Callithrix jacchus: one gene and its partners. The protein of the gene in region 4 purifies or fractionates together with the protein of the main gene of each other region. This does not show direct contact. Links are inferred from orthologs where the notes say so. Each region holds a gene or a part of one and is shown on either strand. Other genes may lie near its edges.

Region 1 (6,365 bases), about 32 Mb from region 4:
TAATCCCACCACTTTGGGAGGCTGAGGCTGGTGGATCACTTGAGGCCAGGAGTTCGAGACCAGCCTGGCCAACATGGCAAAACCCTGTTTCTTCTAAAAATACAAAAATTAGCTGGACATGGTGGCACATGTCTGTAATTCTAACTACTTGGAAGGCTGAGGCACAAGAATGGCTTGAGCCAGGGAAGCAGAGGTTGCAGGGAGCTGAGATCACATCATTGCACTCCACCCTGGGTGACTCAAAAAAAAAATACATACATACATATATATATATATATATATATATATATATATATACACACACACACACACACACACACATATAGTTCTTTTCCCTTTTGGGATCTATGGACTCCTTTAAGAATTTGATTAAAATTTCAAATCCTCTTCCTAGAAAAAAGTACACACATGCATATATTTTTGTAGATGTACACATGCATAAAACTTTGGAAAATATTACAGAAAGTTCGACTACCGAACGTCATCTGTGCATATATTGAGGGTCCACAGACACAAGACCAAGCATTCCTGCTTATTTCAATTTGATTTTTTTTCTTTTTCTTTTTTTTGAGACGGAGTTTCACTCTGTCGCCCATGCTGGAGTACAGTGGCTCGATCCCGGCTCACGGCAACCTCTGCTCTCCGGGTTCAAGCGATTCTCCTGCCTCAGCCTCCTGAGTAGCTGGGACTACAGGCGCACGCCACCATGCCCAGCTAATTTTTATATTTTTAGTAGAGACAGGCTTTCACCATATTGGCCAGGTTGGCCTCAAAACTCCTGACCTTGTGATCTGTCGGCCTGCCTCAGCCTCCCAAACTGCTGGGATTACAAGCGCCCGCCACCACACCTGGCTTTTTATTTTTATTTATTTATTTATTTATTTTTTGAGACGGAGTTTCTCTATTGTTACCCAGGCTGGAGTGCAATGGCGCGATCTCGGCTCACTGCAACCTCTGCCTCCTGGGTTCAGGCAATTCTCCTGCCTCAGCCTCCCGAGTAGGTAGGATTACAGGCACGTGCCACCATGCCCAGCTCATTTTTTGTATTTTTTAGTAGAGACGGGGTTTCACCATGTTGACTAGGATGGTCTCGATCTCTTGACCTCGTGATCCACCCGCCTCGGCCTCCCAAAGTGCTGGGATTACAGGCGTGAGCCACCGCGATTGGTTTTCACCATGTTGGCCAAGCTGGTCTTGAACTACTGACCTCAATGTGACCCGCCCATCAAAGTGCTGGCGTGAGCTACCACGCCCAGCCTGATTTTAATTTGAATTCATTACCTTAAAAATCCCTGGATTTAACATAAAAAATCTAGATTTTAGACGTCGGAAAAAAATGTAAAATATTATCTCCCAAGACTGCAGGCAAGTAGATCACAGTCCTGAGTAGCAACCGCGGTCTCTAGTGGTTACGGTTCTCACATCCATTTCGCTCCATTTTATTACCTGAGAGGACTGGTAGTTTCAAAACCTGGTATATCAGTAACTTTTAGGGAAAACTGCACACACGCACCCCTTCTTCCTTCTCTTTATTTGAAAGGAAACAACGGAAACAAATTTGCAAATCTTTTGCGCCAGTCCCACGGATAGGCGACTAACAAGAGATACAGAGGTGTGGGTCCCAGAGGCGGTACGGTGTTTTCACCCCTTCCGGATAGCTAGTACGACCTACCCACCGCGACTAAGCACAAGGAGTGCTGAACTAAGCTATGCAAAGTTCTGACCAGAAGGTGGAACGGTACTTAGTGAAGAGGATTTATTTAGGAATCGAAATCGGTTTTGCTAAATTAGACAAATCTCATTGTCTAAGGAGCCACGCCCTGTTCGCAGGAGGAGAGGGAAGACAAACCAACGCCCCAGCTCTCCAATGGCACCTCAGCTCTGAACTAGACGCACTCTACAAGGATGCCTGGGTTTCCGGAGCAACCGCCCGGTCCCTCCCCCTTTGGCCCCGCCCCCGAGACTCCTTCCCGCCAAAGGCCGTTATCGCCGCAGAGCATGGTGGGACAAGGCTCTAGGCTAGGTTTCACCAAGTCCTTTCAAGGCGCCGAGTTGCTTTCAGAGATCCTCATTCCTGGGGAAACTGACTGTCCTTCAAGACCCGACCTGGAAGACTAGCTCCTTTAGAGAGAGTTCTTTATTTAACTTTTACCAAACGGCCACTCTATTCGCAAACCACCCCAAGCCGGGAACGCGGGGGACTTTTTTTCCCCCTTCGTGCGGAGGGTGACGTCGCGCGTGCGTGCGCGCGCGTACGTTGAACGTAGTCTTCGCAGCGCGTGCGTGTTGGGATCGAATCGCTGTTTCCTTCCGCTTCTCTTCCTCTGTCTCCCCCCCCCCCCATATCCGTGCGCCGAACTGATAAAGGCGCCATTTTGGAGGGGCCGCGGGAGACGTGGTGCCGCTGCGGGCTTGCTCTGCCGTGCGCTAGGCTTGGTGGGAAGGCCCGTTCTCGAGTCCACGTTTTTCGTCGCCGCCATGTCGGGAGGTGGTGTGATTCGTGGCCCCGCAGGGAACAACGATTGCCGCATTTACGTGGGTAACTTACCTCCAGACATCCGAACCAAGGACATTGAGGACGTGTTCTACAAATACGGCGCTATCCGCGACATCGATCTCAAGAATCGCCGCGGGGGACCGCCCTTCGCCTTCGTTGAGTTCGAGGACCCGCGGTGAGGCGGCATGGGGCTTGCAGCCTTGAGGAAATAGGTCCGAGTGGTCGGGGAAGACTCCAAGGCCTTAATATAGAGAACGGGAAGGCGGGGGCTCTTAGAGAGGATGGGGCGAGACTGTATCGCCCATGCAGGAGTCGAGTGAGGAGCTGAGTTGGTGTGGCTTCTCTGGCGCCTCGCCTTGGACGTCCCCGGAGCCCATTCGCAGGCTGGAGCGGGAAACTGAGGCGCTGAGGGCTGGTGTAGTGGCTGGGAGCCTGGCGTGTTTCTGGGTGGGGGAGGGGTCATTCCCATTATGCGGCGCATGTGGGCTCTTCCACGTTGGGTGCGCATGTGCGGGGGGTTCGCTGGTTCCCGACTGAGCGATCTTCTCCTCCTGGTCTTTCTCATGCCTTTTACTGTCTACGATCCCGCAGGGACGCGGAAGACGCGGTGTATGGTCGCGACGGCTATGATTACGATGGATATCGTCTGCGGGTGGAGTTTCCTCGAAGCGGCCGTGGAACAGGCCGAGGAGGCGGCGGGGGTGGAGGTGGCGGAGCTCCCCGAGGTCGCTATGGCCCCCCATCCAGGCGGTCTGAAAACAGAGTGGTTGTCTCTGGTAAGTCTACCGGTTGTGTGGTTGATGTGAAGGGACGGAAACTACTTAAAAATTTTCTCTTGCGTGACCGGTTTAACAATTGCAAATTTTTCATGCTAGGTCTTAAATTGCTTTAGTTTTTGGGTGAATTTAATAAACGAGGATTGCTGCTGTGGTGATTTACCAAATTAGGTTGCGGTACTAGATACGAAGATCCGTTACAAATAATTTTGGACTCTGGATTCCAGAATCTTACCAGCTCTTTACCTGGTATCACTTAAGTACAACTATTAAGTATTTTAAAGTACTCTTTGTCCTAATGTACCTTATCAGCTTAACGTGAAATTTAAGATAATTGATACTAAGAAAAAAAATCGCTTTTTCAGGACTGCCTCCAAGTGGAAGTTGGCAGGATTTAAAGGATCACATGCGTGAAGCAGGTGATGTATGTTATGCTGATGTTTACCGAGATGGCACTGGTGTCGTGGAGTTTGTACGGAAAGAAGATATGACCTATGCAGTTCGAAAACTGGATAACACTAAGTTTAGATCCCATGAGGTAGGTTATATGCTTATTCTTTTTTTTGACCAGAATTGGATACAGTGGTCTTAACAGTGGAATTTGAAGGTAAGGATTCAGGCAAGGGTGTCCAAGTAAATTGCCAGATTTCTGGTTTTAGTTACATTGTATTCATTCAGCATGCCTGAAGCTAGGTGAAAGCTTAGATCTTTCAATGGAAAGTTCTGTCTATCCAATAGGGAGAAACTGCCTACATCCGGGTTAAAGTTGATGGGCCCAGAAGTCCAAGTTATGGAAGATCTCGATCTCGAAGCCGTAGTCGTAGCAGAAGCCGTAGCAGAAGCAACAGCAGGAGTCGCAGTTACTCCCCAAGGAGAAGCAGAGGATCACCACGCTATTCTCCCCGTCATAGCAGATCTCGCTCTCGTACATAAGATGATTGGTGACACTTTTTGTAGAACCCATGTTGTATACAGTTTTCCTTTATTCAGTACAATCTTTTCATTTTTTAATTCAAACTGTTTTGTTCAGAATGGGCTAAAGTGTTGAATTGCATTCTTGTAATATCCCTTTGCTCCTAACATCTACATTCCCCTCGTGTCTTCGATAAATTGTATTTTAAGTGATGTCATAGACAGGATTGTTTAAATTTAGTTAACTCCATACTCTTCAGACTGTGATATTGTGTAAATGTCTATTTTGCCCTGATTTGTGTGAACTGGGATGTTGGGGATGTTTATGGTTATCTTACCTGGGGAAGTTCTTATGTTTATCTTGCTTTTCATGTGTCTTTCTGTAGACATATCTGAAGAGATGGATTAAGAATGCTTTGGATTAAGGATTGTGGAGCACATTTCAATCATTTTAGGATTGTCAAAAGGAGGATTGAGGAGGATCAGATCAATAATGGAGGCAATGGTATGACTCCAAGTGCTATTGTCACAGATGAAATTGGCAGTATTGACCTTATACTAAAAGGCAGGGGGGTAAAAATGATTATATACATTTTCCTTAAAACACTTGAATGTTTTATTCAGTTACCTTTAGCTACAATTGCTTTACCTTTTAAACCTTGGCAATTGTGGCAAAATTATGTTGCCCATTTTGTAGCAACTTATTTTGCTCCCTTCCCCCCATTTTTGTTATAATAGGGACTAATGTGGGAAGAACTGGCTAATTTGTCGCAGTGCTTAGTTACAACTGTTAATGTGTGACCTGCTGTTGGTGTACATGTGGGTAGAGGGTGTCTTTAAATCCAACAAGATAGAGTATAATATCAATACTGCTAAATCTGCATGTCCTCTGTGTGACTGATAGAGCGTTGCTATTTCATTTTTTTAAGACAAAATGAAAGCAAAATAATAGAGTTCCAATGTATTGGTGTAGATAATCTAGTTGGGAATACTTAGGTCTCACCTTCCCCTTTAATATTCATAATTGATTCATATGTTTAAAACACTTTAATTTACAAATTAAATTGCAAATGGGAGCATTAGATTTAGTTTTAGATTAGGTGGGTAGCAATGCCAGTAAACTTAAATTACATAACTTCTTGCAACCACGAAACCTGTAATACACTGTACAGTAACAAGTGTTGGCATTATCAGTTGAACTGTAAATATAAGATGCTTCTTCCAGTTAGTCTCTATGATGATTAAGTTTCTAAAATTTATCTGAACACCATTCAGAAACTTGTTTTGGGGAATTTGATAGTTATTGATGTGCATCTGTTAAACTGATGACTGACATAACTCATCATTCCCCAGAAACCTTTTTTGATTACAGTATCTAACGTTTTGCCTCCTCTTTTTTGGTTTTGCTGGTTATAAAGGTTTGGATTGGAGAGGGCTCACTGGATCCCAATCCTTGGAGCTGGATCATTGGATTCAAATCATAATGTGGATAGGATAGGGAGGATGAATTACCAGGATTCATGGAGCGGGATCAGATTACCAGGAACATAGGAGTGGATTCCTGCCCCAACCAAACCGCATTCGTGTGGATTTTTTTATTCAACTTAATTGGCTATTCCAAAGATTTTTTTTTTTCCTATTTTTGACGATTGGAGCCCTTAAGATGCACGATGGAATTGTGTTTTGCATTTTTTGGTAAAAGGAGCAAAGCGAGGACCTGGAGATAAACGCTGGAGCAATCTCCTTGGAAGGATTCAGCACGAGTAGATGGTAAACATTTAAAGGGGAAAAGGGGGGGGTTTGTTTAAAATAGTAAATCAGTAAGTCACTTCTAAATTTAAAGAAAACAAAATTGGAGTTGAAGAATAAGTAGGTTTCCAATTGGCTATTGCCATTTTTCTTTGAAAAAATAAACATTTTTTAAAAAACTATGCATGGTTGTCCTTTTTCCTCTTCATGTAAGATTCTAACTGGGTCTGTCAGTTAATCTTTAAATTGTTAAGTAAGATTTTGACTCTTGTGTTTATATGTTAGCAAATTAAAAGTTCTTAAAAGGCAATCTAATGGTATTAGCTATCTTTTATTGTTAATTGTAAAAGTCTTCAGGGGAAGGCAAAAGGGGAATAAGGCGTTTGTATATGTAATGTAAATGATGGTGGGGGGTGGGTCTAGCATCTGAA
Region 2 (5,608 bases), on a different chromosome or scaffold from region 4:
AATAATCTCAGGGCTAGTGAGAAAAATTTCCAAGAAAGTACCCCTCAAGGTTATAATCACTGGCTACAAAAAACAGCCCCAAGGAAGACCAATGAACAGGTTCCTACTGGTGGTGGACAGGAAAAGGTAAAGCGAATGCCTCCCACCCCTGCACACCACACACGACCCCTCCCATCTACAGTCTGCACCTCCACAGGCTTCTTTCGGCTCTTGCGGTCCTTGGCCATCTTGGCCTTTTTGAGCTGTTTCCGCTTCTTCTCATCCCGGTCACTGTCACCCTCATTACTGGAAGAGCTGGCAGAGGCATTGCTGTCAAACCTACCAGAGGGCAAGCCAGGCTTAGACTTGGGGAGGAAGGACAGCATCCCACGGCCTCGGGACAGGAGGAAAACAAATCCAAAGATACCCACCCAAAAGGGGCAAGAGAGGAAGGCCAGAGGACAGCGTGCACCACCCATCCCTAACACTGCTTCCTCCCATTCACTCAGGTGGCGTCAACCATGCTCTCTCCAGACCCAACCACAGTAATGGCTTACTTGATGAATTAATTAATGAAAAACAAATCAATCAGTGGGCTTCTGCTGCTCTCCCTGGGCATGGCCAAACCGGTTCCATGTCCATCCCCAGGACCCCATGGGCAGAAACACTGCCTCATTCTTGCCTGGAACATAGCCAAAATCCACTTTACCACTTCCTTTGGAGTAATCGTTTTAATCTACCCTACAGTCTTTTTTTTTTTTCTCTTGTCAGATGGGTAATGTGCCGAGGTCATAACAAGGCTGGAGGATGGCATGCTTCACACACGCACGTGAACACCCAGCCATCATGTTTATGAACTATGAAAGGATCGGCCCCTACAGTCTTTTCTGATAAAAAATAATCAGTTACTACAGAAAGAGGAAAACCAACTTCAGTTTGACCCAGTACAGACCCCTGTAATTGACAGTCTTATTTGATATATGTGAAACTTCTCAAAAATGGAATATGCTGCTGGACAGTTTTCAAGGCACTTTCGCAAGTATTTGCTCATTAAACTTTCATAAGCATGTGGCAAGCTGAACTAGTGGACCCCTGTTGGGTTTTTTTGGTGCCCGACATTCTTTTGCAATACTTCTGGATTAAGAGAGCAGACTCCCAATATTCTGTTGGGAACCACCAGAGTGGGGGCAACCCCAACCACAGGCTCTAAGGGTGGGCACTTGGCCTATTTCTGGCGCATCAGAGCCCTGTCCATCCTAATAACTCAGACTTGGAAGGGGCAGGTAACCACTCTGTTCACTACGCTGTTCACCAAAAGAGGTACTTCTGGTGCTGTTTTAAAGCAGTAGGATTAAGCCTGCCCTCAGCTTCTGCAAGTTGCTGGGCACCCCGTGGCGCAAACCTATTTTGAATTAAGGAAATTGGAAGAAACAGGTTTGAGTGCCTGAATCCAATAGTGTCAGAAGCCCCACACTCTGCAGTAACGTGAACTTATGAAATTCCCTTTTATATGTTCTCTTTTAAAGCGAGAGTGAGTCACATTTCTAACACTGCTAATAAAAAGTCTTAACCAATTTTGCAGGAGAACCAATGCATTTCTACCAATGAGAAAATTGAGATTCAATGACTTACTCGACAACATCCAGCAAGTAAATGGCAAGCACCAGCTCTCATTCCCATTCTCTCCTCATCCAAGTACTAACCAGCCACAACTGGCACCTGCAGGGTGGTATGGCCATAGACCCCACTATGCTTTTCTGACTTCAAAATATGCCTTGTACTTACAAAGCCCTGGACAATTTCCAAAACATTTTCATGTATCACCTCATTGGAGGTCACTCTCCCATTCTGGGTCAGTAGCTAATGCTGGGACATGAGAATTGTCCAGAAATTTTGTGGTCCTTTAAGCTTATGGGTCAGCACCTTATCCCCCCAAGGTACCACCAAAACTCACTCCTCTGCCACATCTTCCTCCTCTTCACCTGGGTTGAATGACTCATCTGAAAAAGGACACAGGATGCATCAGCTTCTGAACCAATGGAAATCCCACCTTCACCCAGGCACCCAGCTCTGGTCCAAGGGTGACTCCAGCCCTGGCCACAGTGAGGAGCATCTGACCATCCCCATGCTCAGCACAGAGGCTAACACACCAGTTTCTTCTCCCGAGTCATCGCTGCTGTCATTGGCATTCTCCTCCCGGATCTTGCCCTCCTCCTTCATCCTCTCCAAGTAGGCATCATGCTGGTCCTCATCAGAGTCAGCATATTCATCATAGCTTGGGTTCATGCCCTAGCCAGGGAAGAGTTGAGAGTGGGGCCGACTCACCCTCGAGCCCGAATCCCTGCACACTCAAAAGCACACCCCCATGTCAAGTCAGAGCAGCAGCTCCCAGAAGACCTGGGGCTGGATTGTCCACACACAGCCAACGTGCAGGGCCTACGCCCGAGTACTTCCTGCGAACTGGGTTAGTCCAAGCCCCAAGCCCCTCCCTCTCCCAGCCCCACTGGGGGCTCCCGAGGGGCTGCATAGACTGGTCTAAGGTCATGCAGAGGAAACCTGCACCAGGAAGGGGAAAGGGTCACACGCACCTCTTTTTTCTATAAGGGTAAGAAAAGAAGAGAGAGTGAAAAAGAAGCCGGAAAAATCTCTACCCCTTTCTCCCCTACAGAAAGATCAGGAGAGGGTTTCATCCTCCCCACACAGAAGTACCTCTTTCAATCCTCGGTTTTTGATGTTGAGCTTCTTCGCATTGACAAAATCAAACAGTTTCCCATACTCCTCCCTGTGAGGGGACACGCACCATGTTACCAGACAGGTAGGGCCAACACAGGGGTGAGCTAAACAACGTTCTGATTGCCATGAGCTGGGGTAGACTGTGGAGCCTAGAGCCCTTGACCATGCTACCCAGCCCACAGCTTAGAAACCCCCAGAGGACAGCAGTAAGGCAGAGCCAGACAGTCCTGAAAGAGGAACATGCATAGCTTTGAAGAGCCCTGGGAAAGAAAAGGCAGGGAGGGGTGCACACCTGTTTACCAAATAAGCTCAGAGGAGAGCAAGTGTGGGGGATGGGATATTGGCATCTTTTTTCATTCTTTACAAGGTTGATATGAGGATTACACGTGAAGATGCTTATAAAACGTTTAGTGCACAGTGAGCACTCAATAAGCATTAGCCGCTATGTTCTCGGGCACAAAGCTCATTCCAGGAAAGACAGAGATAGCATTTCCATCATGGCGGGGAGTGGAGGAGAAAAGAGGCCAGTAGTGAAGTCATATAGCTTTCAGAATATGGAACTATTTTTTTTTAACAACCAGAAAGAAAGCAATGGAGAGGCCTCTCAAGTCTGAGCAGTCCAGGGATAAAGACCAAATCCTGATGTAGCAAAAGAAAACTCCTGCTCTAGGGTTGGAGAGTGCCCCAGACCATGCCAGGCTTCCCGGTCAAAGCTGACTCAGGACCAGGATGCCCAGGAAGTGACGGGTGGCGGTGCTCACCTCTCAATGCTGCTGAAGGTATACTGAGTGCCCTGCTTGGTCTCAATTTCAAAGTCAAAGGAACGAGTCGTCGTGGTACCACGAGCAAAGTTGACAAAGGAGATCTCATCGAAGCGGATGTGCACAGGTGGCTTGTGGACGTAGATGAAGCCCCGCTCCAGCGGGTACAGCAGTCCTGAGCTCGCCTTGTACGAACAGGTGATGCACTGGGCCCCTGAGTGCCTGACAGAGGGTGCAGGAAGCCCGGTTAGTGCCAACCTCAGCAGAGACAAAGGGCACATCTAACAGAGGCGACATGTGTGCTCATGTCCTTGACTAAGTAAACGTCACTGAGCTGTGCAGACGGAAGCACTGACACCTGTCATGACACAAGGTCCCATCCAGGGCTCTGACAGGCTGCACTCCCATCTCGGGGGGGGGTTACCAAGGAGACACGGAATTCCCATACCCAGCCAGGCCAGGATCCCAGGCCCACACTCACCCTTGGAAGTTGCCTGGCACCGTGATCTTGCGGTTCACCAGTGCTTTCATGACCCGGCTGACCATCTCATAGAGGGATCCTGACATGTTCTTGGTGAGCCGACCCTCAAAGCGCTTCTCCACTTCTTCCCTACAAAGACGGCAAAGGTGAGGTCACAGCACTACTGCCTTCTAATGGTACACCTGTCTCCTGCCTGGACAGTGGCAGGAGGAGAATCCTGGGAGACACTCACTCATTCATGTTCAGAGTCAACGAAATGTCCTCGTCCTTGGAGAAGAGGAGGATCAGGAAGTGGTAGCGGGTTTGGCCTTGCTTGATTGGGGGATCCAGGCTGATCTAGTAAGGAAGAGTACCAACTGACACTCTACAACAATTTGCAATTAACCAACACAGAATTCTGCACACCAGTGAGATCCGTCTCCTAAACATTTAGGCAAAAAACCAGGATTACGCAGCCATCGGGGTTTCTGCTTACCACAAAGAACATCTGGCGCTGGTCCTTGTGGGGCAATAGAAACAGCCGCAGTACTGTGGTGTAGGGGATCTTGTAGTCAAAGGTCTTGCCGTGCAGGTGCAGAAAGGTGGGGTAGATCCGAATGTCGTAACGACCGCGAGGAGTCAGACACTGCAGCTCCCGGAAGATGCAGATGGCATCTCCCGTGGCCTGGATTACATCCGCCTTCGACAACACATTCTGGGCAAAGGCCTATAAAAGTACACACTGGTGACCAAGCAGCAGGCCCCGCTTCCAGGCCAGCCACCGCCTGCTCAGCAACATCTGCTGCCAGGGCAGCCAGGGGAAGCCTCACCTCAACAGGGTCCACGCCATCCTCCTGGGTGGGAGGGACATAGAAGCGCACCTCCATGAGAGACACCTCTGCGTCATCGTTCTGGTGGAATTCCAGGGTCACCTCATTCTTGCCCGTGGTGCACTGGGACACGTTGCTGAGGGGTATCTCGAAGACTGGCTGGTCACCAATGTCAAAGGAAAGCAGCTGCCCTGTGAGGAAAGGGCTTATCAAGCCGCAGGCTCCCCTGCATAAGCAACATTCCCACCAACCCGAGGTCCACAGAGATGGGAAACCGGGGCGAGTCTGTTCACACTGTAATCCAACTCCCGGCACAGTGCCCAGTACACTGTAGGTACCCAATAATCAGTACTCATGATGAACGTGCAAACAGATAGGAAACCAGAGACACTGGCAGAGGGAAAAGAGCAGAACAAGTCAAAGGCTGACACCCTTCAGGCTATCTTCTTCCCCAAACCTCAGTCCTCCCCAGGACTCACCACCAAATTTCACTGTCCCCCAGTTCCAGCCCTTCACACAAAGGTCCTTCTCCATTAACTCAAGGCGATAGTGAGTTTTGAAGAAATCAGAGAGTTTCTCAAACTCCTGTGGGTGGAGGAAAGAAAGCACAATCCCAGTAAACCTTGGTGGCCTTAACACAGACTTGAATGTCCTGCGATGATCTATTTCTGAGAAATTGCCCCAAAATAGGCTGTATGAGAAACCCATGCTACTAAGCAACCCAGCCCTAACATTGTTTAAAAGACTGTTGAGGCCTGGTGTGGTGGCTCACGCCTGTAATCCCAGCATTTTGGGAGGCTGAGGAGGGTGGATCACCTGAGGTCGGGAGTTCTAGACCAGCCTGA
Region 3 (6,049 bases), on a different chromosome or scaffold from region 4:
AGGCGCAGGACCTAGAGAGTAATAGAAAATAATATCCCAGCCAGGCACAGTGGCTTATGCCTGTAATCCCAGCATTTTGGGAGGATGAGGCGGGTGGATCATTTGAGGTCAGGAGTTCGAAACCAGACTGGCCAACATAGTGAAACCCCGTCTCTAGTAAAAATACAAAAATTAGTTTGACAATGGTGGTGGGTGCCTATAATCCCAGCTACTCAGGAGGCTAAGGCAGGAGAATCGCTTGAGGCTGAGACGTGGAGGTTGCAGTGAGCCAAGATCGAGCCACTGCACTCTAACCTGGGTGACAGAGTGAGACTCCGTCTCAAAAATGTATATATCTATCTCTATATCTATATATATCCCTCCTTCAATCCCTGACATGCTCTTAACTCTTGACCAGCCAGAATTAGCCCTAAAATGTCTCTGGCTCCCCACTTCCTGAGCTAGATAGATACTATGGAATCTGAGACATTAGGCTGGACAAAGCATCATCAGCCTCCCTGAGTCTCAGCCCAGAATGAGACCAGGCACAAGAAAGCCCCTCCCATTCCCTTGGGAATGGAACACCAGTCTGGATTTCACGAGAAAGAATCATTTTCTTAAGGGCTTTTCCCCACCAATCCCCCCAAGTCAACCCCCAACACCCACCAGCTACATCTCAGCACCCCTATAAAAGCTGGAAGTAGAGACAAAGATAACCCATGGAGGCAAAGCGGACATCCTTCCATGCACATACAGCCCCCAAACTTCTCAGGCAAATAATATGCTGAAACGGCAAACAGCAAAATGACTGAGATAAAGATTTGGGAAAGGGACAGGAATGGGGTGTGGCAAGTGGAAAAAGTGGGTCACACTACAGCCCAGGACAGAGTTCACAGCTCCTGCATAGCTCCCAGTCAACATGAAGGGCAGCCCCAGACCAATGGGCCAATAGGAGGCCAAGATGTGGAACCCACAATGTCTAGGCAGCACTACAGTTTCTCATGCCCCTCTTAGAAGGACAGGGTCCCCTTACCACCACCACCACCCTGCTCTCACCTTGGGCAAGAGCACAGAAATCTGCCTCTCTACCCTACACAAGGATGAAACCAAGTTTCTCATCCCAACAGTTGAAGACTCCATGACAAGACTAACCCCTCTCCTAAATGGCCTCAGGTTGAAGTAAAGACTTCCAACTTAAAAAGTGCAAAATTTGAGAGCATCTCTCCCAGACCACCGCAACTTCCACTGGAGCTAAGAAGAGAGCAGAGTGAAGAACGCTGGATGAGAAACAAAAACAGAATCAGCAGGCTCCAGAATGAGAAGAAAAGTAGAAGCAGAAGTGATGAAGCAGTGGCATGTAGGAAAAAAAATGAACCTAGAAAAAATGAAGGTCAAGGAAACAAGTAGGTGACTTAGCTAGGGGCTCTGAAGAAAGACAGAAAAGAAAGAGATCTGCTTAGGAACGCGAGATCAATCATCATTTGAGAATAGACAAGGGCTCCCCCAATCAGCCAGGGTGGTTATAACCATACGGGTTTGGCCAGTTCACGGAGCCACCCCAAAACACAGATAGTGCAACCTCTAGCACACCTACACAAGGCACTTCACACTGCCAGCCTAAACCCCGGGCTACCTCACAGAGGCAGAAGCTGCTAGGAAACAAGCCAGAATTATGTCCACTAGCCAGGTGAAGAGGGGTGCCCTCCCTTCTTTTGCCTCTCCTCACTAGGCTATTACATCCTCTCCAAGCCCCCATCACTTCCCCACTCAAAACATTCCAGCAATCTGCCTGGCTAAAAGCGCTCTAGATCATGCTGAGGAGCGCGATTCAAACTTCACACAGTTGAGACAGCACAGAAAACCGGTAACTGATCAGAAGCTAAAAATAATCAGATAGAGCGTAACCAGCACTCCCTCTTTCCTTTCCACAGAGGCAACCACAAGATTCTACTAGCACAGATGCCCGGCTGGTCTTCTCAGAATCCTCAACGTCCCCCTCCACCACCACCACTACCACAAGCCTCCAGGGGTCCCAACTACCTGCATTCCTCCGAGGACCCACACACAAGGTAATGCGTGCCAGCCCAGAGAGCTCCCTCAACTGGGAACTGCAGAGCATTCCTCAAGACAGAGTGCAGCAAGCTGGCATCTCCGTCCGCGGTGCCCAGGAGGCACATGGCTTCCACCCCCCTCACACCAGAGCTCCGCAGAAGGGAACCACTCCCTTCGGATGCCCTCCACCTTCGGCTCTGCACAGAGACAGCCGAGCAACACAGCCCTGCCTCCCCAGAGAAGTCACTCGGGAGAGTCCAAATGCCTCCTTCCCACCCAGGGCCCTTGGGGAAGATGTTACCTGGGTGGGGTGGGGGCAGGCTGTTGTTCAAAAGTGCATCCATATCCTCCTCCTCACTGCCCGCCGAGCAGGGGGACGGGGAGCCCAGGCCCGACGCCATCCCCTTCCGCTCCCGGCCAGGGAATTGGCCCAGCTGCTCCTGCCGGCGGCCTGGGGCCCTCTACACTGGCCCGAGTCACTGTGCGGGGGAGGGGGGAGAAAGAGAGAACAGTCAGTGACGCGCACTGTCCCCTTCCCCCACACCCACCCGCTCTTTCCGCCCCCCACCTCAGCCACCCTAGCAGGGCACCCGAACCGCTCAGGCTGAACTTAGTTCCACACTCCTCGGGGGCAGCCCGGAAGCCGGCTCCCCGGCAGGCGCCCCCACGGAGCGAGGGAGCGACGCCTCCGAGGGCAGGCTGGTGCAGGCGCGGGGAGGGAAGACGCTGGACCGAGCGGGGTGTGACGGGGGAGGGGGTCCGAGTGGTAGCGGCGCGGGGGGGGGGCGGGCCAGGGGAGGCGGCAGGCAACAAGGCGCTCGGGGACACAAGGTCACTTGGGGGTGGGGGGGCGCCTCCCTGCGCCCGGGGAGGGGCCAGTCCCCAGACAGGGCAGCTCTCCAAAGGCTGTCCTCTGGGACAACTCAGGTTCTCCTCAAGAGGTGCGGGGACGAGGGGGCGTGGAGGCTCTGGCACTGCGGGGGGCCGGAGGCAGGGACGCGGGGGACGAGAGCGTCCCACCGGGAAGGGGGCCGGGCCACGTGTGTCCCGGGGGGCAAGTGATCAAAGGGCGAGGGGGCGGGCGCCGGGCATTGTGGGAGACCAAGCCAGAGGCGGAGGGTCGCGGGGAGCAAGACTCTGGCAGGGTTAGGGCGGGGGCTGGGAGGAGGCCGGGCGCCCTGCAGGGCCAGGAAAGGAAGGGTAGGCTTCTCCGGGCAAGGGGCGGTCCGCGGGTCGGGGGACGCTTGACGAAGGGGCGGGTGACGGGATGACCCTCCGGGCTGGTCCGGCCGTGAGGGGCGTCTTTTTGGGAACCCCGCGCTCTCCTCACCCCGGAGCCGCCGCAGGTTGCGCTGGGTCCGGCCTGGTGTCACTCCCGCTCCGACTCCTCCTCGCCGCGGCCGAAGGGGGGAAAATGGCTCCGGCTCCGGCGTCGCCTCTTAAAGGGCCTGAAACACCGGCCGGGAAATCCCACCGCACAGGCCCCGCCCCCCCACGGACAGCCCATAATAACCTCAACCAACTCCAACCCCCCCCCACTACCGCCACCCTCCTCCCCAGGTCTCCCGGGCAACCCCCGCCCCCTCGTCGCTCAGGCAACCATTGGCCACGCCCCTTCGAGCGCGCGCGCGCGTGTCACCTGGGCAACCGCCCACCTCTTGGCCATCCCATAATACACACGGACACTCCCCCCACATACACAAAACACACACCCCGCCCCCCCCACATTTCATACACATATATGCCAGGGGCTACTGACATCTGATGATATTGCAGACCTTTTGCAACTAACCCTCTTAGATATCCCATAATAGCCATCCTTTGCCAACTTCTTCACTCTTGGCCCTAATGCTAACATCCCATAATAATTCATCACCCCTCCCTCCCCATGGCCATCCCATAATAAGCAGCCCTCCCGGCACTTATGCCTTATATCCCATAATACTCATCCCCATCCCCCACAGACATCCCATAATAACCACCCTCCATCCACCCCCAGTTTGATATCCCATAATAGTCAGAAACTCACCCCCCCCCATACTACAACAACGGACACTCGGCCTCCTCCCACACACATCCAGTAATAATCAGTCTCCCACTTTCTATACTGACATCCCATAATAACTAACCCCCTGGGGCTGCCCTCAGTCCCTGCAGGCTAGGGTCTAGAGGCTCACAACACCCCCAGCCTTCCCTCTCCTGGTTCCACAGTCTATGATAAGTACCCCTCTATCAAAAAGATAACCCATAATGATCAACTGCCCTACTGTCGCCCTACAGATGGACAGACATCTAATCTCTTTTCCTCTAACACTGGAAAGCTATCCCATAATAATTTTACTCTCCTACCCACATCCTGACATCCCATAATAATTGCAAGGCGCCCGTGGTCAACCAAACATACCATAATACTCCCAACACAACCCAGTGTCACATCCCATAATGCTTCATCTCCACTCCACCATCCCTATACCCTTGAAGCCAGGCATCCCATAATATTCATATTCTTCCCACCCCCATCTCCAGGCGCTGTCAGTCTATTCTAACACCTCGAGCAGGGAGGGCCAGGCAGGCTACCCACGCTTCCCTGTCCCCGCCCCCACTTGCACACACACCTTAATCCTTTTCTGGGCCAAAGCAGTATCCTGGCAAAAAGCCTCCTGATGTCTGGAGCCCAGCTTCCCTCATACCATCATTTCCAGACACTCAGGGGCCAGGAGCCCACCTAAGGCCTCACCCAATCCCACCAAAATCCAGGTATTTTCCAAATGCTTACCTCCAGCTCCTAAATTTTAAGGAACACCAACCAACCAAAATACCAAGCTGACAGATGAAACATTTACAGGAAGTCAAATTCACTCTACAGCATCCCATAATAATTAGCAACTCTCATCCCAAGACTCTCAACATCTAGCACTCCCTCCTCCTCACAACACCCCAGGTAAGAGACCTTTCACCAACACCCCTAGGCCACTCCTGCGGATGGACATCCCATCACTATGTGAACTGAGGATCCTACTCTATACACACCAAGAGTGGAGGCCCACCCTCCCCCCTGCTACTCACCACTACTCATGCTCATTCAACCTTTGTTGACAGAGTACCTAACAAGGCGGAGCTGCACACCATGGAGAAGCAAGGAAGACCACGGGTGCCTCCCTTCAAAAAGCATAAACCACCAAGCAAACGATACACCACAGAATGGTGCCAAGGGAGAACTACTGAGTGCTATTTCCCAATTTCCTGTTACAGAAAATCCCACTGGTCCCAAGAGAGAACATATCCCAATAGGATACGTCCTACTGGTCCTTCTAGAGCTGGAAGGTACTTAAAGGATTTATGGGTATAGACTATGATCAAGACAATCTCCTATCTGTTCCCTTACTAGGGGATTTTGATTGAAAAGCAATGCTCAAATTAGCGGGGCATGGTGGCGCATGCCTGTAATCCCAGCTACTCAGGAGGCTGAGGCAGGAGAATTGCCTGAACCCAGGAGGCGGAGGTTGCGGTGAGCCGAGATCGCGCCATTGCACTCCAGCCTGGGTAACAAGAGCGAAACTTCATCTCAAAAAAAAAAAAAACGAAAAGCAATGCTCATCCATTTGGTATTACTACTGAAATCCTATAATATGTTCATGTCCTTCCTCCTATTTGTGTGTGTGTGTGTGTGTGTGTGTGTGTGTGTGTGTGTGATGGAGTCTTGCTCTGTCTCAAGGCTGGAATGCAGTGGCATAATCTCGGTTTACTGCAACCTCCGACTCCCAGGTTCAAACGATTCCCCTACTTCAGCCTCCCCAGAAGCTGGAATTACAGGCATGAGCCACCACTCCCGGCCTTTCTTAAGAGATTCCACAATATGCCAGCATTGTTTCCCTCATTCTTGAACACCAAATCCTGCTTAATCTCAATGTCCCATATTTTTTAGGCACTTTCCCATTTTATATCTTGAAGTCTCACAATACCTCCAGTGGCCTCCATCCTCATCTTGTTGAGGCCCCATTCTCCAGCTCAAAAAAAT
Region 4 (6,314 bases):
CTAAAAACATTTTCAATATTGTCTTGGTCATAATGAATTTGGGGGATTTCACACCTTTTATCAGTTCTGACAGTGTAAAACCTACACAAGCTTCCCACCTTCTAAGAGACTGTCTTTCCAGACCAACAATTGGAGTGCCGAGTGTTGCTTTCTCACTAGTCAGAAGCTTGAGGACACAGGTAGGGTTCAGTACTTGTGTCAGCTTGATGAAGCTACAGTCCCTAGATATTCAACCAAACACTAATCTAGGTATTGCTGTGAGATTTTGTAGATGTGATTCAAGTCTACAACCAGTTGACCTTAAATTCAGGGGTCTGTCGTCTATTTTCTGGGTAGGCCCTAAGAGCAGCCTTTCCTTTCTGAGAACCTGCCCAACAGATTTGACAATTAAGTGCCTAGACAGCCCCCACAATCGTGTAAGCCAATTCTTTGCAATAAATCTCTCTCTCTTTTTTTTTTTTTGAGATGGAGTCTTGCTGTCTTGCCCAGGCTGGAATACAGTGGCATGATTTCGGCTCACTGCAACCTCTGGATCCTGGGTTCACGCAATTCTCCTGCCTCAACCTCCTGAGTACTTCGAATTATAGGTGCCCGCCACCAAGTCCAGCTAATTTTTGTATTTTTAGTAGAGATGGGGTTTCACCATGTTGGACAGGCTGGTCTCAAACTCCTGACCTTGTGATCTGCCCACCTTGGCTCCCAAAGTGCTGGGATTACAGGTGTGAGCCACCATGCCCGGCCGCAATATATCTCTTAACACATCTCTTCGGATTCTGTTTTTCTGGCTGAGCCCTGTTAGTGACCTGATTAATGACTACCCACACACAGGAGATATGCACGTTTGGCTTGTTCTCTAAACTTCGTAGGGCACCTCAAACTTTGGTGAACACAGCCTACTTCTACTGGGCTCCTCTGACTTCCACTCCCTTTCTGTAACTTGTCTTGGGGCTGCCTACTTTAGCCCCACAGTCTACTTCTCCCAATTGAGAATTTCCAATATATGTTAACTAATTTTCCCTGATTACTATTTCCAGGAGTGAGGGCGGGCCTTTGTGTTACCCCCACACCAATCATCCAGTCTTTCAGAATCTTTTCTTAGGCAACCATTTTGCGATATAACTTAAGCTTATTCCTTCTTTGGTTGGTTACAATTTCAGGGTAGTTTAGGACAGGATTTTTTGGTAATTTTTTTTCTTGATTCAGAGTAGAAGGTCTGTTGAACAATCTCACCCTGCCATCTTAACCCCCAAAATCACACTAATTTATTCATCTGCTTTCCCTGATAAAAGGACTTACTACAAGGAGAAGCAGTATCTTATTGACTTTATGCCCTCAGGAGCTAAGTACAACACCCGGCAAATAGGAACTCTTATTTGTTGGAAGAAACATACACTTTAATTTCTGAAAAGAGATTTTTTCATCAAGCCACTATTCAACAGTTCTTCCATATAAGTTAAATCAACCTTTCTGGAGCATTTACTCTTGAGTGATGCTTAAGTACAAGTATCATACTACTACGTAACTTTTAACAAGCACCTCCAAATAAGATGAGTAAGGCCCCAATCTTCAAGGAATTGAGCTCTAGTGTACAGGACTTACACAGTTTAAAATTATACATCTTTTTGGGAATGTAAAATAGTGCAGCTGCTGTGAAAAAGTTTGGTGGGTGCTCAAAAATTAAACAAAATTAACATAACTTCTAGTTACCTGACCATTTGGAGATTGGCAAAAAATATATATTTACACACACACACACCCATCCCATCCCAGTAAACCACTTCTAGGTATATATTCAAAAGAACTGAAAGCAGGGAGACAAACACATTTGTATGCCAATGTTCACAGCAGCACTAATCACAATGGTAAAAAAGGTGAAACAACCCAAGTGTCCATCAATAGATGAGTACATATGTGACGCACACATACAATGAAATATTATTCAGCCTTAACAAGGAAGGAAATCCTGATGGATGCTACAACATAAGTAAACCCTGAAAACACCATGAAACAAGTGAAATAAGCCAGGCACAAAATGACAAGTACTGCAATGAGTCCACTGAAATGAAATATGCAGCATCACTTCAGGTCAAGAGTTCAAGACCAACCTGGCCAACATGGTGAAACCCCTTCTCTACTAAAAATACAAAAATTAGCCAAGTGTGGTGGTGGGCACCTGTAATCCTAGCTACTCAGGAGGCTGAGGCACGAGAATCGCTTGAACTCAGGAGGTTGCAGCGAGCAGAGATCTCGCCACTGCGCTCCAGCCTGGTCAAGAGTGAGATTCAAAAAGTTAAAAAAAAAAAAAAAAAAAAAGGTTAACATGGCAAATTTTGTAATATATGCATACATACATACTTGCTGAGATGCAGTCTTGCTCTGTTGCCCAGGCTGGAGTGCAGTGGCACAATCTTGGCTCACTGCAACCTTCACTTTCTGGGTTCAAACAATCCTCCTGCCTCAGTCTCCCAAGTAGCTGGGATTACAAGCCTGTACCACCACACCTGGCTAATTTTTGCATTTTTAATAAGAGACAGAGTTTCACCATGCTGGTCTTGAACTCCTTGACCCACGTGATCTGCCCACCTCAGCCTCCCAAAGTGCCAAGATTACAGGCGTGAGCCACCGTGCCTGGCTTGTTATCTACGTTTTTATCACAATAAAAAATATATTTTAGGCTGGGCATGGTAGCTCAAGCCTGTAACCCCAGCACTCTGGGAGACCAAGGTGGGTGGATCACCTGAGGTCAAGAATTTCAGACCACCTTGGCCAATACGGTGAAACCCCATCTCTACTAAAAATACAAAAATTAGCCAGGCATGATGATGGGTGTCTGTAATCCCAGCTACTTGAGAGGCTGAGGCACAAGAATCACTTGAACCCAGGAAATGGAGGTTGCAGTGAGCTGAGATCAGGCCACTGCACTCCAGCCTGGGCAACAGAGTGAGACCCTGTCTCAAAAATATATATATACACACATATGTTTACCACATATATATATGTTTTTTTTGAGAACACATTTGGAGTGCAGTGGCACAATCTCGGCTCACTGCAACCTCCACTTCCTTCCCAGGTTCAAGCAATCCTCCTGACATATATATGTATATATAAATTGGGCCCTTTGGGATCAGTTATATATATTTATTTAAGTAAATGTAAATGTTTATATATACATTTTTTTAGAACACACCTTTTACTTATACTAAAAAGCCATTATACTGTCAATCCAAGGAGTTATATACAAGGCTAAAAACAAGCTTGCAGTAGTTTGTACGGAGCTACACCCAAGAGAGAAACATTCGGAGACCAGTCTTCACTAACACATACCAAAAGCTTTTCCATGAAGCCTTAGACAAGAAAATAACTCGGGTTTTGGTAGTTTTTCACTTTTGGTGTTTTGGTACCTAAGGCTTAATATTAGGTGGAAATGCTCCTCGAGTATAACAAATACCACTCCACAACATCACTCTCTCTTACCATGTTGTCCTAGTGCAATTTATTTGACTATGAGTCCCTTTAGGGCGGATACAACTTAATTATCTGACTATCACTTTTGTACCTAGCAGCTGTAACAATGATAGCAATCTCGGGTCTGTCAATTCTTAACCGCCCAAAAGTTGCAACATTAATCACAAAAGCGTTACAATACGGGCAAATCTTTCACCTAACAAGAGAAACCTCTTACTTGCGAGCCCAAAGGCCCCAAGTGGAAAAATGAAATTGAAATCAAGGAGAATAACTACACTGGCAAAGGCAATTAAGTGATATTCCGGGTTCCCGGCACGGGTCCATGAGCCCGCCCCCGCCCTCACCAAGTGTAGATCTGCAACTCGCTGGATGGTACGTTTCCCCGGGAGAACTCGTCCATTCGGTGGTGGCGGCCGTTATTGGTGGTGAAAACCCGCAGCAGCAGCGGGCATGTCTGAGGAACACAGAAAAGGGAAGAGCAGAAGTTAAAGACCCCAGCTGCGAGGACCTCACTTCCCTTCCCGAGGTGTCGCGGCCTCCGAGCCGCCCCGAGACCAAAAACACCGCCTCCTCCCGCACACAAGCCGCATCTCTGCACCCTGCCGGGCCCACCCCTAACCTCTTCCCGGACCCCAGAGCGGAAAGGATCTTCACCTTCTCGCGGTCGATCGGCTTCTCTGGCTCCTTCTTAATTTCCTCCTGGGTAACGCGCGATTCCACCGCCATCTTCCTCCTGCGGCCCGCGAGACGCTCGCCCTGACCTCCGACCCCTGCAGCGAGCATGAACACGAAGTCTCTCGCGAGGAGAAGCTCCACATTTTATATTCGGCCGGCACTGGGCGGGGCGTCTCCTGGCGCAGGCGCACTTCGGTGCGCGGCGCGTGAGCCCGGGCGCGCCTGCGTGTTGCGACAGAAGGAAAAGGGTGGTGGCGACAGCGGGGAGACTAAGGAGGCGCCTAAAGTCCGTCGCCGGGCAGTTTGTTGGCGAGGTGTTTTTTTCGCTTAAGTATTCACAGACGAAATAAGCTTAATGTGGCGTTTTCACGCATATTGACGAAACCTTATTGGACACAAAACGTTCCTTTATTAACAAAATATAGATCTCTTATTTCTGATAAAAGAACAGGCCAGCGATCCCGGCACCTGAGGAGAGCCGGAAGAGGCGTCGCCAGCATACGTGGTGATGAAGCGATCCTAACAGCGACACACAGTTTGGGCGGCGCAGAGACCTGAATGCGAATAGCAAACCCAGAACTTGCAGGAAATAACGTTCTGGAATATCTTCAGGACCAATGGGTGGGAATATATGATACAAAAAGAATTAACGAGAAGCGATTGATTTGACTGGATTACTACCAAAAAAAAAAAAAACCTAACCTTGAAAATACATAACAACTCCATGATGAACCAAAAATGCTAAGTATGTGACTGAACTTACAAGTGAATTATCTTACGACTGAAAAGTGGGAAAAGCCACAATACATCATAAGAGGAAAAGGCAACAGAGTGGGAGAAATTTGTTACACATATGATTGACAAAGGCTGCTATCCAGAATATATAGAAACTAAAAAGACAACCCAATAGAAAAGTTGATAAAATTACTGAATAGTTGCTTTGGAAATGACAAAATCCATATTCAGTAAACATGTAAGGTGCGCAAGCACATTAGTTTCAATTGATTGGATTAAACCACGTCCACTAGATTGGCAAAACTTAGGAACTTTAGCAGGGCGTGGGAGCTCACACCTGTAATCCCAGCATTTTGGGAAGTCGAGGCAGGCGGATCACTTGACCTCCTGACTCCTGACTTGAGGTCAGCAGTTTGAGACCAGCTTGGCCAACACGATGAGACTCTGTCTCTACTTAAAAAAAAATTTAGCCCAATGTGGTGGCAGTTGCTGGTAATCCCAGCTACTTGGAAGGCTGAGGCAGTAGAATTGCTTGAACCCAGGAGGCAAAGGCGGTAGTGAGCGAAGATCGTTCCAATGTACTCTAGCAGCCTGAGCGACAGAGTGAGACTCCATCTCCAAAAAAAGAAAAACACAGCGGGGCATGGTGGCTCATCCCAATAATCCCAGCGCTTTGGGAGCCCAAGACAGGTGGATCACTTAAGTCAGAAGTTCCAGACCAGCCTAACCAACATGGTTAAGCCTCGTCGCTACTGAAAATACAAAATTGGCCCCCTCGTGGTGTCGCAAGCCTGTGATCTCAGCTACTTGGGAGTCTGAGGTAGGAGAATTGCTTGAACCCAGGAGGCAGGGGCTGCAGTGAGCCAAGATCACGCCATTGTACTCCAGCCTGGGCAACAAGAGGGAAACTCTGTCTCAAATAAAAACTAGGAACTCTGACAGTAACAAGTATTTGTAGACCACTAGGAATTCTCACATACTGCTGTTGAGAATGTAAACTGGAACACCTGCTTTGGAAAGTAGTACCTACCCTAGAGAAAATCTTGCTCAACTCTATCCAGAGACATTACAAGAATGTTCTTAGCAATATTGTTCATGAGAACAAAAAGCTGGAAACAGCCCAAGTGTCCATTCACAGTAGGATAGTTCAGTGAATTGTGGTGTACTATACAGCAACACAACTACCAATCAACAATGGGATACTAAAAAGCAACACAAATTTACAAACTACAGTCATATGAAACAATCTAAATCTCACAAACAAGATGGTAAATATAAGAAACCAAAGACAAAAATGTATATACTGGGTGAATTCATTTTCATAACACTCAGAAGCAGGCAATACTAAAATATATTGTTCAGGAGAATTCCTACGTGACAAAAATTACCAGAAAAGTCTCAGTAGTAATGACCTCTGAACATTTTTTTTTTTTTTTTGA
Region 5 (6,215 bases), about 4.9 Mb from region 4:
CAAATCAATCCAACCTAAAGAGGGGGCCGTGGGAACCTCAACTTGAAGCTGGTTGGTCACAAGTTCTAGACGTCCAGACTTGCGACTGAGATCTGAAAAGAGGGCAGTTGTGAGACTGAGCCCTTGACCTGTGGGACATGGCCCACCTCCAGGCAGATGGTATGAGAGTTGACCTGAAGGACACCCAGCTGGAAAACCCCCACACCTCTGGTCACAGAAGTCTTCTTCTGTGCTGATGACTGTGGTGGTGGTGTGAGAGCAGAAGCAAAGCACAGTCTGTTTTTCCGAAATTGTGTTACATACAATTCCACACACCAAAAACCACTAAGCAAAGCTGGCTAAGAAAATGAAAGCCTTCGGCTGGGCACAGTGGCTCACACCTGTAATCCCTGCACTTTAGGAGGCCAAGACATGTAGATCACCTGAGGTCAGGAGTTTAAGACCAGCCTGACCAAGAGGCTGAAACCCTGTCTCTACTAAAAATGCAAAACTAAGCCGGGCATGGTGGCAGGCGCCTGTAATCCCAGCTACTCGGGGAGGGTGAGGCAGGAGAATCACTTGAACCTGGAAGGCGGAGGCTGCAGTGAGCCGAGATCACTCTAGCCCCGGTAACAGAGCTAGACTCCGTCTCCAAAAAAAAAAAAAATGAAAGCCTTCTAGAGTAGAGAACACAAATTTAAAAATTATTAAACCCTGTGGCTAAAGTCAGGGAAAGCGTTGGTACTGAACGTGTAGAAACTGAGGAAAACGGTCATCCCAGAGCATCTAACTGTACTGCCCCGACTTGCATCCAGCCTGTGCTGACAGCAGGACGACTTACTGTGCGATGACGTCTCTCCCTTTGATTATCTGCTTAATTGCTCGTTGCTGGATCGCTGATGGTTTTTCAAAACCTGAAATAAAACAGAAAATTAGCTCTCACAATGACAGCATAGAAACCCTATACTGGCCGGGCGAGGAGGCTCACGCCTATAATCCCAGCACTTTGGGAGGCCAAGGCGGGTGGATCACGAGGTCAAGAGATCGAGACCATACTGGTCAACAACGTGAAACCCCGTCTCTACAAAAAGTACAAAAATTAGCTGGGCATGGTGGTGCGCGCCTGTAGTCCCAGCTACTCAAGAGGCTAAGGCAGGAGAATTGCTTGAACCCAGAAGGCGGAGGTTACGGTGAGCCGAGACTGTGCCATTGCACTCCAGTATGGGTAACAACAGCGAAACTCCGTCTCAAAAAAAAAAAAAGAAACCCTGTACTGTGAGCTTGTCAGGGGCAGACATGGTTTGCTTTTTGAACCCGCCCTCCAGCCTAACCCAATGTTCAACATAGCAAGCTCTGAAGCCCCAGAGGCTCAATGAACTGGGCTGAGAGGATTTCTACACTAACATGGGATGTCATTTGTAAAGACAAATCTCTATTTAAACAGCACCACCAAGGTGTAGTATACAGAGACCCCAGTTCTGTTTTGTTGTTTTTTAAATCTTTTGGGTGCGCAGCATCTGGAAGTTTAAGTGCCAAAATGTTCCCGGCAGTACTGCAGCAGAGAAGTGGGAAGAAGCTTACTTTACTCTAATTACTTCTCTAGGTTTGACTCTATTACAAACAACCTACACTACTTTTTAAGAAAAAAAAAAAAAAGACCAGGAAAGTCACTGTAGCCACTGTTCTCTCCTCCTAGCTAGCATTAAGTCTGTGTGTGGCTGACAGGCCTACACTCTTCTTAATCTGCTTGGGTCACACTGCGGGGTGTCCTAAGCTGTTCTCCTGTCTGGACGCAGCTCACTCAGTATACCACCATCTCTCCTGCAAAGCAACTACCACACAGAGGGGTGAGGCTATTTTGAAGGACTACATGTTTTTCAAGTAAATAAAACGTTATGTACAAAAACTCTTATTTCAATTATTTTTTGGTAGCCTTTTAAATGTAGCTTTGCTCAGTTCTGGGGCATAGCAAAAAATAAGAAAAGAAAAAGTAGCACAATTTCCCATCTTAACACAAAAGCAAATATAGCAGATGATTTAAACTCTTCACAAACAGCAGCATATAGATGGGAATCTAACAACAGTGCCTTAGGGCAGGGATCGCCTGAGTGCCAGGAAACCAGGTGGGGGCTCTCAGCCTCACTGTGAGGCTTGGCTACAATACCTTCTCACCACCCATCTCTGCAACTTTGCTTCACTTTGTCCAAACTGTTGTGGCATCAAGAACTACAGGATAAGGCCAGGTGGGGTGGCTCACACCTGTAATCCCAGCACTTTGGGAGGCTGAGGCTGGTGGATCACTGAGGTCAGGAGTTCAAGACCAGCCTGGGCAACACAGCAAAACCCGTCCCTACTAAAAATACAAAACTTAGTTCGGCATGGTTGTGCATGCCTATAATCCCAGCTACTCTAGAGACTGAGGCTAAGGAATCACTTGAACCCCAGCGGCAGAAGTTGCAGTGAGCCAAGTTCATGCCACCACATTCCAGCCTTGGCGACAGAGAAAGACCGTCAGAAAGAAAAGAAAGAGAACTACAGAACAAAAGATATCCCTGTCCCAAGCATTAAACACAGACCATTTATTTCAGATGCTGGTAATTCCCATCTAGTGCCCAACCCAACCCCTTCTCCAGGTTCTAAACGTCCACAGACCTTTCAAACAGATCAAGACAAAGTTCCTGATGCTGACTCTCTGGAGTGCTGCCCACCTAGGCGAATGTTTGCAGCATCAACCACCGGTTACTCAAAACACTCCAGTCCTCCTCCTTCTGTCACTCACATTCAGTCCATCAGCCAATGCTGTCAGCTCCCTGGCACTCCATCTCCAAAGCAGCACAACCCTCTCTCCCCTGAACTAGAGAAAAGCTCCCAACTGGTCTCCCTGTTTCCTCTCCTGCCTCGCTTCACCTCACCTGAAATTCACGGGACACCCAAAAGAATCTTTTAAACTATAAATCTGATCGTCACGTAGCTACTTAAAACCTTCCAGTGGCTTCCCACTGGATTTCTAAATGAAATTCAAACTGTTCGTCACCCTACACGTCTTTGTTAGATCTGGCCCCTACCTAACTTTACAAAATCCCACCTGTTTCAATTCCTGGAGGGCACCGGCTGTTCCTTCTGCCCCAAATGCTCTTCCCTCTTCTCCTAATAGCTCCTTCATCCAAACCTCAGCTCAAATGGCACCCCCTCCTGCGAACCCCGTTACCTCTCTGCTTTACTAATTCTCTCCTCCTTCGCAGTTCCACTACATTCAATTACCCTGCTTCAGGTCTTCACAGCAACAACCACTGCCTAAGCAACCTGACCCTATGCTGTCCCCGCCAACGAAATTCAGAAATTGGTTTACCGCCAAAACCCCAGTTCCTAGAAAAGCTGGTAGGTACAAAACAGTTATGTGCTCAATGAACGACGCTAATGTGCCTCTAAGCGGCTGCAGCCCCCGTCGGACCCACGCGGAGCTCTGCACAGTGGACACACACCGAACGCGCCGACACAGCCAGGTGTGAGGGCGCGGACAAGGACGGAGCGGGAGTCGCACGTCCCTGGTCCCCGAGCCTCGGCCCTGACCACGACCTCGGGAGCGCGGGGCCGGCCGGGGAGTCGCCAGTCCTGCCCCCAACCCGCGGCCCGCGCCCGCTCACCGTACGCGTAGATGCCCCGCAGTAGGTCCTCCCGCAGGCCCATGGTGTCGAACGTGGGGGTCACGTCCACCTCCTCGCTGGTCTCGAATTCCACTTTGGTCATGTCTTCCTCTTTGAGCAGCCGCTTCCGCGCCGATCCAGAGGTCGCCATCGTGGCCGTGGCCGCCATGATTCTGAGTGCTCGGAAGAGCACAGCGCGCGCAGCAGCGGAAAGCAATAGAAGAAGCCCCGTGCAGCCGCCGCCAAGAGGAACTGACGCCTTAGCGTGCGAAAGCGTGAGACGTGCGTACGTACGTACGTGCGTGCGCGCGCCGCTGCCACGCCTCTGGAGGGGCGTGAAAGGAAAAAGGGCGTAAGCCGCAGGGAAATGGAAGTTGTTTCTGCTCTCGCACGATATGCAGTTCCCGCGGGATCTCGCTGAGGGCGGGGCACCCGGTTCCCTATAAAAGATATGGAGGCCGCGGGACTTTCAGGGTTGGTGGCGTTTTGTGGTGGCTGTGGGTTTCTACTAATCCCTGCGCTGAGGTTCTTCGAGCGGCCTGTGGACCGGAACACCCTGGAAACAGGCTGGGGGCCGCGAGGGTGCCTCCGCTCCGGGCATCGTCTTCAGACGGCCCCGCCTCAAGCAAAAAAGACGGGCACGGGTCCCCTCTCGGCCCGCGGTGGGTGGATGGCGTCGCGGACCCGTAGTGGAGGCGCCGAGCTCGCCGGGGGGATGATGCGGGTTGAAACCCTCACGGCCGCCGGTGTGGGTCTGGCGCGGCGCTGGGCTCGGGCGGGTCCGCGCTGGGCAGAACCAGGGCCCCGGACGCCGGCGTCCTTCCTGGGGGACCCGCCTGTGTGTGTCTTCGCCGTTTGCCTGGCATGTTGGAGAAAGGGTCATGCTCCGTCGCCCAGGCTGGGGTGCAGTGGTGGGATCAGGACTCACTGCAGCATCCGCCTCCCGGGTTGAAGCGATTCTCCTGCCTCAGCCTCCCGAGGAGCTGGGACTACAGGCGAGTGCCACCACGCCTGGCTAACTTAAAAATTTTTTGTAGAGACGGTGGTCGGGGGACTGTCCCAGTATTGTCCAGGTTGGGCTTGAACTCCTGGGGCTCAGGTGATACCGCCCGCCTTGGCCTCCGAAAGGGCTGGGATTACAGGCGTGAGCCACTGCGCGCAGCAAGCAGCTGTTACAAAGTAAAATACAAGCTGAGCCTCCAATTTACTCTTAATGAAGGCCTCGGGTCTGTGTATAAGGTGCCAATAATGTGTGTCCTGCAGTAGAGATAACCCAGAAGGGGTGGTTTTTTTATTGCCCAGCAGAACGTTAACCGGTTAGGCATTTTAACCTGCTTTTTGTTCGTTTGTTTTGAGACAGGGTCTGACTCTGTCGCCCAGGCTGGAGTGCCATGGTACGATCTCGGCTCACTGCAACCTCCATCTCCCGAGCGCAGGCGATCCTCCCACCTCAGCTTCCAGAGTACCTGGAACCACAGGTGCCACTGCTGTGCGCAGCCCCTAACCCGCTTTCTTATCTGACACTTCTTTAAGTGCGTCTACATACCAACCTCCTCTCATGCCTTTTTGAAGCAGCTCCACCGTCTTTGAAGGGCAGTTCATGTTGTGTTGAGAATCATGTTTCTAACTTTGGGGAAATTGTATATCCGCGAGTGCCAGCGCTATCCTTTCTTTTCTTTTCCTTCTTCTTTTCTTTTCGAGACGGAGTCTCACTCAGTCGCCCAGGCTGGAATACAGTGGTGCCATCTCGGCTCACTGCAACCTTCACCTCTCAGGTTCAAGTGATTCTTCTGCCTCAGCCTCCTGAGTAGCTGGGATTACAGGGATGTGCCACCACGCCTAGCTAATTTTTGTATTTTTTGTAGGGACAGGATTTCACTATGTTGGTCAGGTTGGTCTTGAACTCCTGACCACATACTGCGCCTGCCTCGGCCTCCCAAAGTGCTGGGGTTACAGTCATGAGCCATGGTGCCCAGCTCTGCCCTTTCTTATGGTCAGAAACCTGGCTTGCATCGCTGGGCACATCTTTAACCCATGGCTTCTTTCCAGGAGTGCTTGAAAGCTCTCCTTTTATGAAGGTTAATTTTAATTAAAACCAGAGCGTCCTTTTATGAAGAAATCAGTGGGTTGCAGTATTTCAAGGATGAACAAGTAAATGCAGCCTTCTCCAAGAGTGAATCTCACGCTGGCACCAGAATTTGTCTATGCCAGATAATTGACCTCCTGATAAATGTGCCTAGTAAGGATGCTGGTATTACTCTAAATATTAAATAGTTATAAAGCTGAATAAAATGTAAGTTCTCATATCTTCCTCACTCCACAAAGGATCGTTCAGTGCCCTCAAACTGGCTTTGTTGTAAAATACACACAGATTTCAATGATTTAGTATAAGAGAATGTAAAACCTTGTTGACTAAAGAAAGACAAGCTTTTAAAGAATTAAACTTAGTTTTATTCAGAAGCCTTACTGAGGACCCTAGACCCTGGCCCCAGCCCAGGAGCTCAAGCAATCCTCCTGCCCCAGTCTCTCAAAGTGCTGGGATAACAGATGTGGGCTACCAGGCTTCACCTACTTCTTCACAGTTTTAAAATC

What was found.
Region 1: the proteins of SAP18 (region 4) and SRSF1 purify together in Homo sapiens (co-immunoprecipitation; 4 studies listed by BioGRID and IntAct, with this or other methods). This does not show direct contact. The link is inferred for Callithrix jacchus from reciprocal best matches to the Homo sapiens genes SAP18 and SRSF1.
Region 2: the proteins of SAP18 (region 4) and SSRP1 fractionate together in Homo sapiens (co-fractionation; 3 studies listed by BioGRID and IntAct, with this or other methods). This does not show direct contact. The link is inferred for Callithrix jacchus from reciprocal best matches to the Homo sapiens genes SAP18 and SSRP1.
Region 3: the proteins of SAP18 (region 4) and CHD4 purify together in Homo sapiens (affinity purification with mass spectrometry; 3 studies listed by BioGRID, with this or other methods). This does not show direct contact. The link is inferred for Callithrix jacchus from reciprocal best matches to the Homo sapiens genes SAP18 and CHD4.
Region 5: the proteins of SAP18 (region 4) and EIF4A3 fractionate together in Homo sapiens (co-fractionation; 3 studies listed by BioGRID and IntAct, with this or other methods). This does not show direct contact. The link is inferred for Callithrix jacchus from reciprocal best matches to the Homo sapiens genes SAP18 and EIF4A3.

What each region holds. Positions count from the first base shown.
Region 1 is NC_133506.1:108,328,406-108,334,770, forward strand, and holds the start of SRSF1 (serine/arginine-rich splicing factor 1), read left to right. Parts: upstream 1-2,355; 5' UTR 2,356-2,478; coding exon 2,479-2,672; exon of another isoform or gene 2,673-3,088; coding exon 3,089-3,273; exon of another isoform or gene 3,274-3,638; coding exon 3,639-3,811; exon of another isoform or gene 3,812-4,011; coding exon 4,012-4,198; exon of another isoform or gene 4,199-4,571; coding exon 4,572-4,594; coding exon of another isoform or gene 4,595-4,610; 3' UTR 4,611-6,365. UniProt on the Homo sapiens protein: Plays a role in preventing exon skipping, ensuring the accuracy of splicing and regulating alternative splicing.
Region 2 is NC_133511.1:114,900,097-114,905,704, forward strand, and holds part of SSRP1 (FACT complex subunit SSRP1), read right to left. Parts: intron 5,349-5,608; coding exon 5,243-5,348; intron 4,955-5,242; coding exon 4,764-4,954; intron 4,661-4,763; coding exon 4,430-4,660; intron 4,291-4,429; coding exon 4,187-4,290; intron 4,084-4,186; coding exon 3,955-4,083; intron 3,696-3,954; coding exon 3,474-3,695; intron 2,762-3,473; coding exon 2,689-2,761; intron 2,269-2,688; coding exon 2,130-2,268; intron 1,980-2,129; coding exon 1,934-1,979; intron 849-1,933; exon of another isoform or gene 745-848; intron 319-744; coding exon 189-318; intron 1-188. UniProt on the Homo sapiens protein: Component of the FACT complex, a general chromatin factor that acts to reorganize nucleosomes. The FACT complex is involved in multiple processes that require DNA as a template such as mRNA elongation, DNA replication and DNA repair.
Region 3 is NC_133510.1:20,794,172-20,800,220, forward strand, and holds the start of CHD4 (chromodomain-helicase-DNA-binding protein 4), read right to left. Parts: upstream 3,473-6,049; 5' UTR 3,362-3,472; exon of another isoform or gene 2,600-3,361; intron 2,511-2,599; 5' UTR 2,433-2,510; coding exon 2,333-2,432; intron 1-2,332. UniProt on the Homo sapiens protein: ATP-dependent chromatin-remodeling factor that binds and distorts nucleosomal DNA. Acts as a component of the histone deacetylase NuRD complex which participates in the remodeling of chromatin.
Region 4 is NC_133506.1:140,822,335-140,828,648, reverse strand, and holds the start of SAP18 (histone deacetylase complex subunit SAP18), read right to left. Parts: upstream 4,261-6,314; 5' UTR 4,249-4,260; coding exon 4,120-4,248; intron 3,920-4,119; coding exon 3,810-3,919; intron 1-3,809. UniProt on the Homo sapiens protein: Component of the SIN3-repressing complex. Enhances the ability of SIN3-HDAC1-mediated transcriptional repression. When tethered to the promoter, it can direct the formation of a repressive complex to core histone proteins.
Region 5 is NC_133506.1:135,889,392-135,895,606, forward strand, and holds the start of EIF4A3 (eukaryotic initiation factor 4A-III), read right to left. Parts: upstream 3,878-6,215; 5' UTR 3,793-3,877; coding exon 3,624-3,792; intron 894-3,623; coding exon 821-893; intron 1-820. UniProt on the Homo sapiens protein: ATP-dependent RNA helicase. Involved in pre-mRNA splicing as component of the spliceosome. Core component of the splicing-dependent multiprotein exon junction complex (EJC) deposited at splice junctions on mRNAs.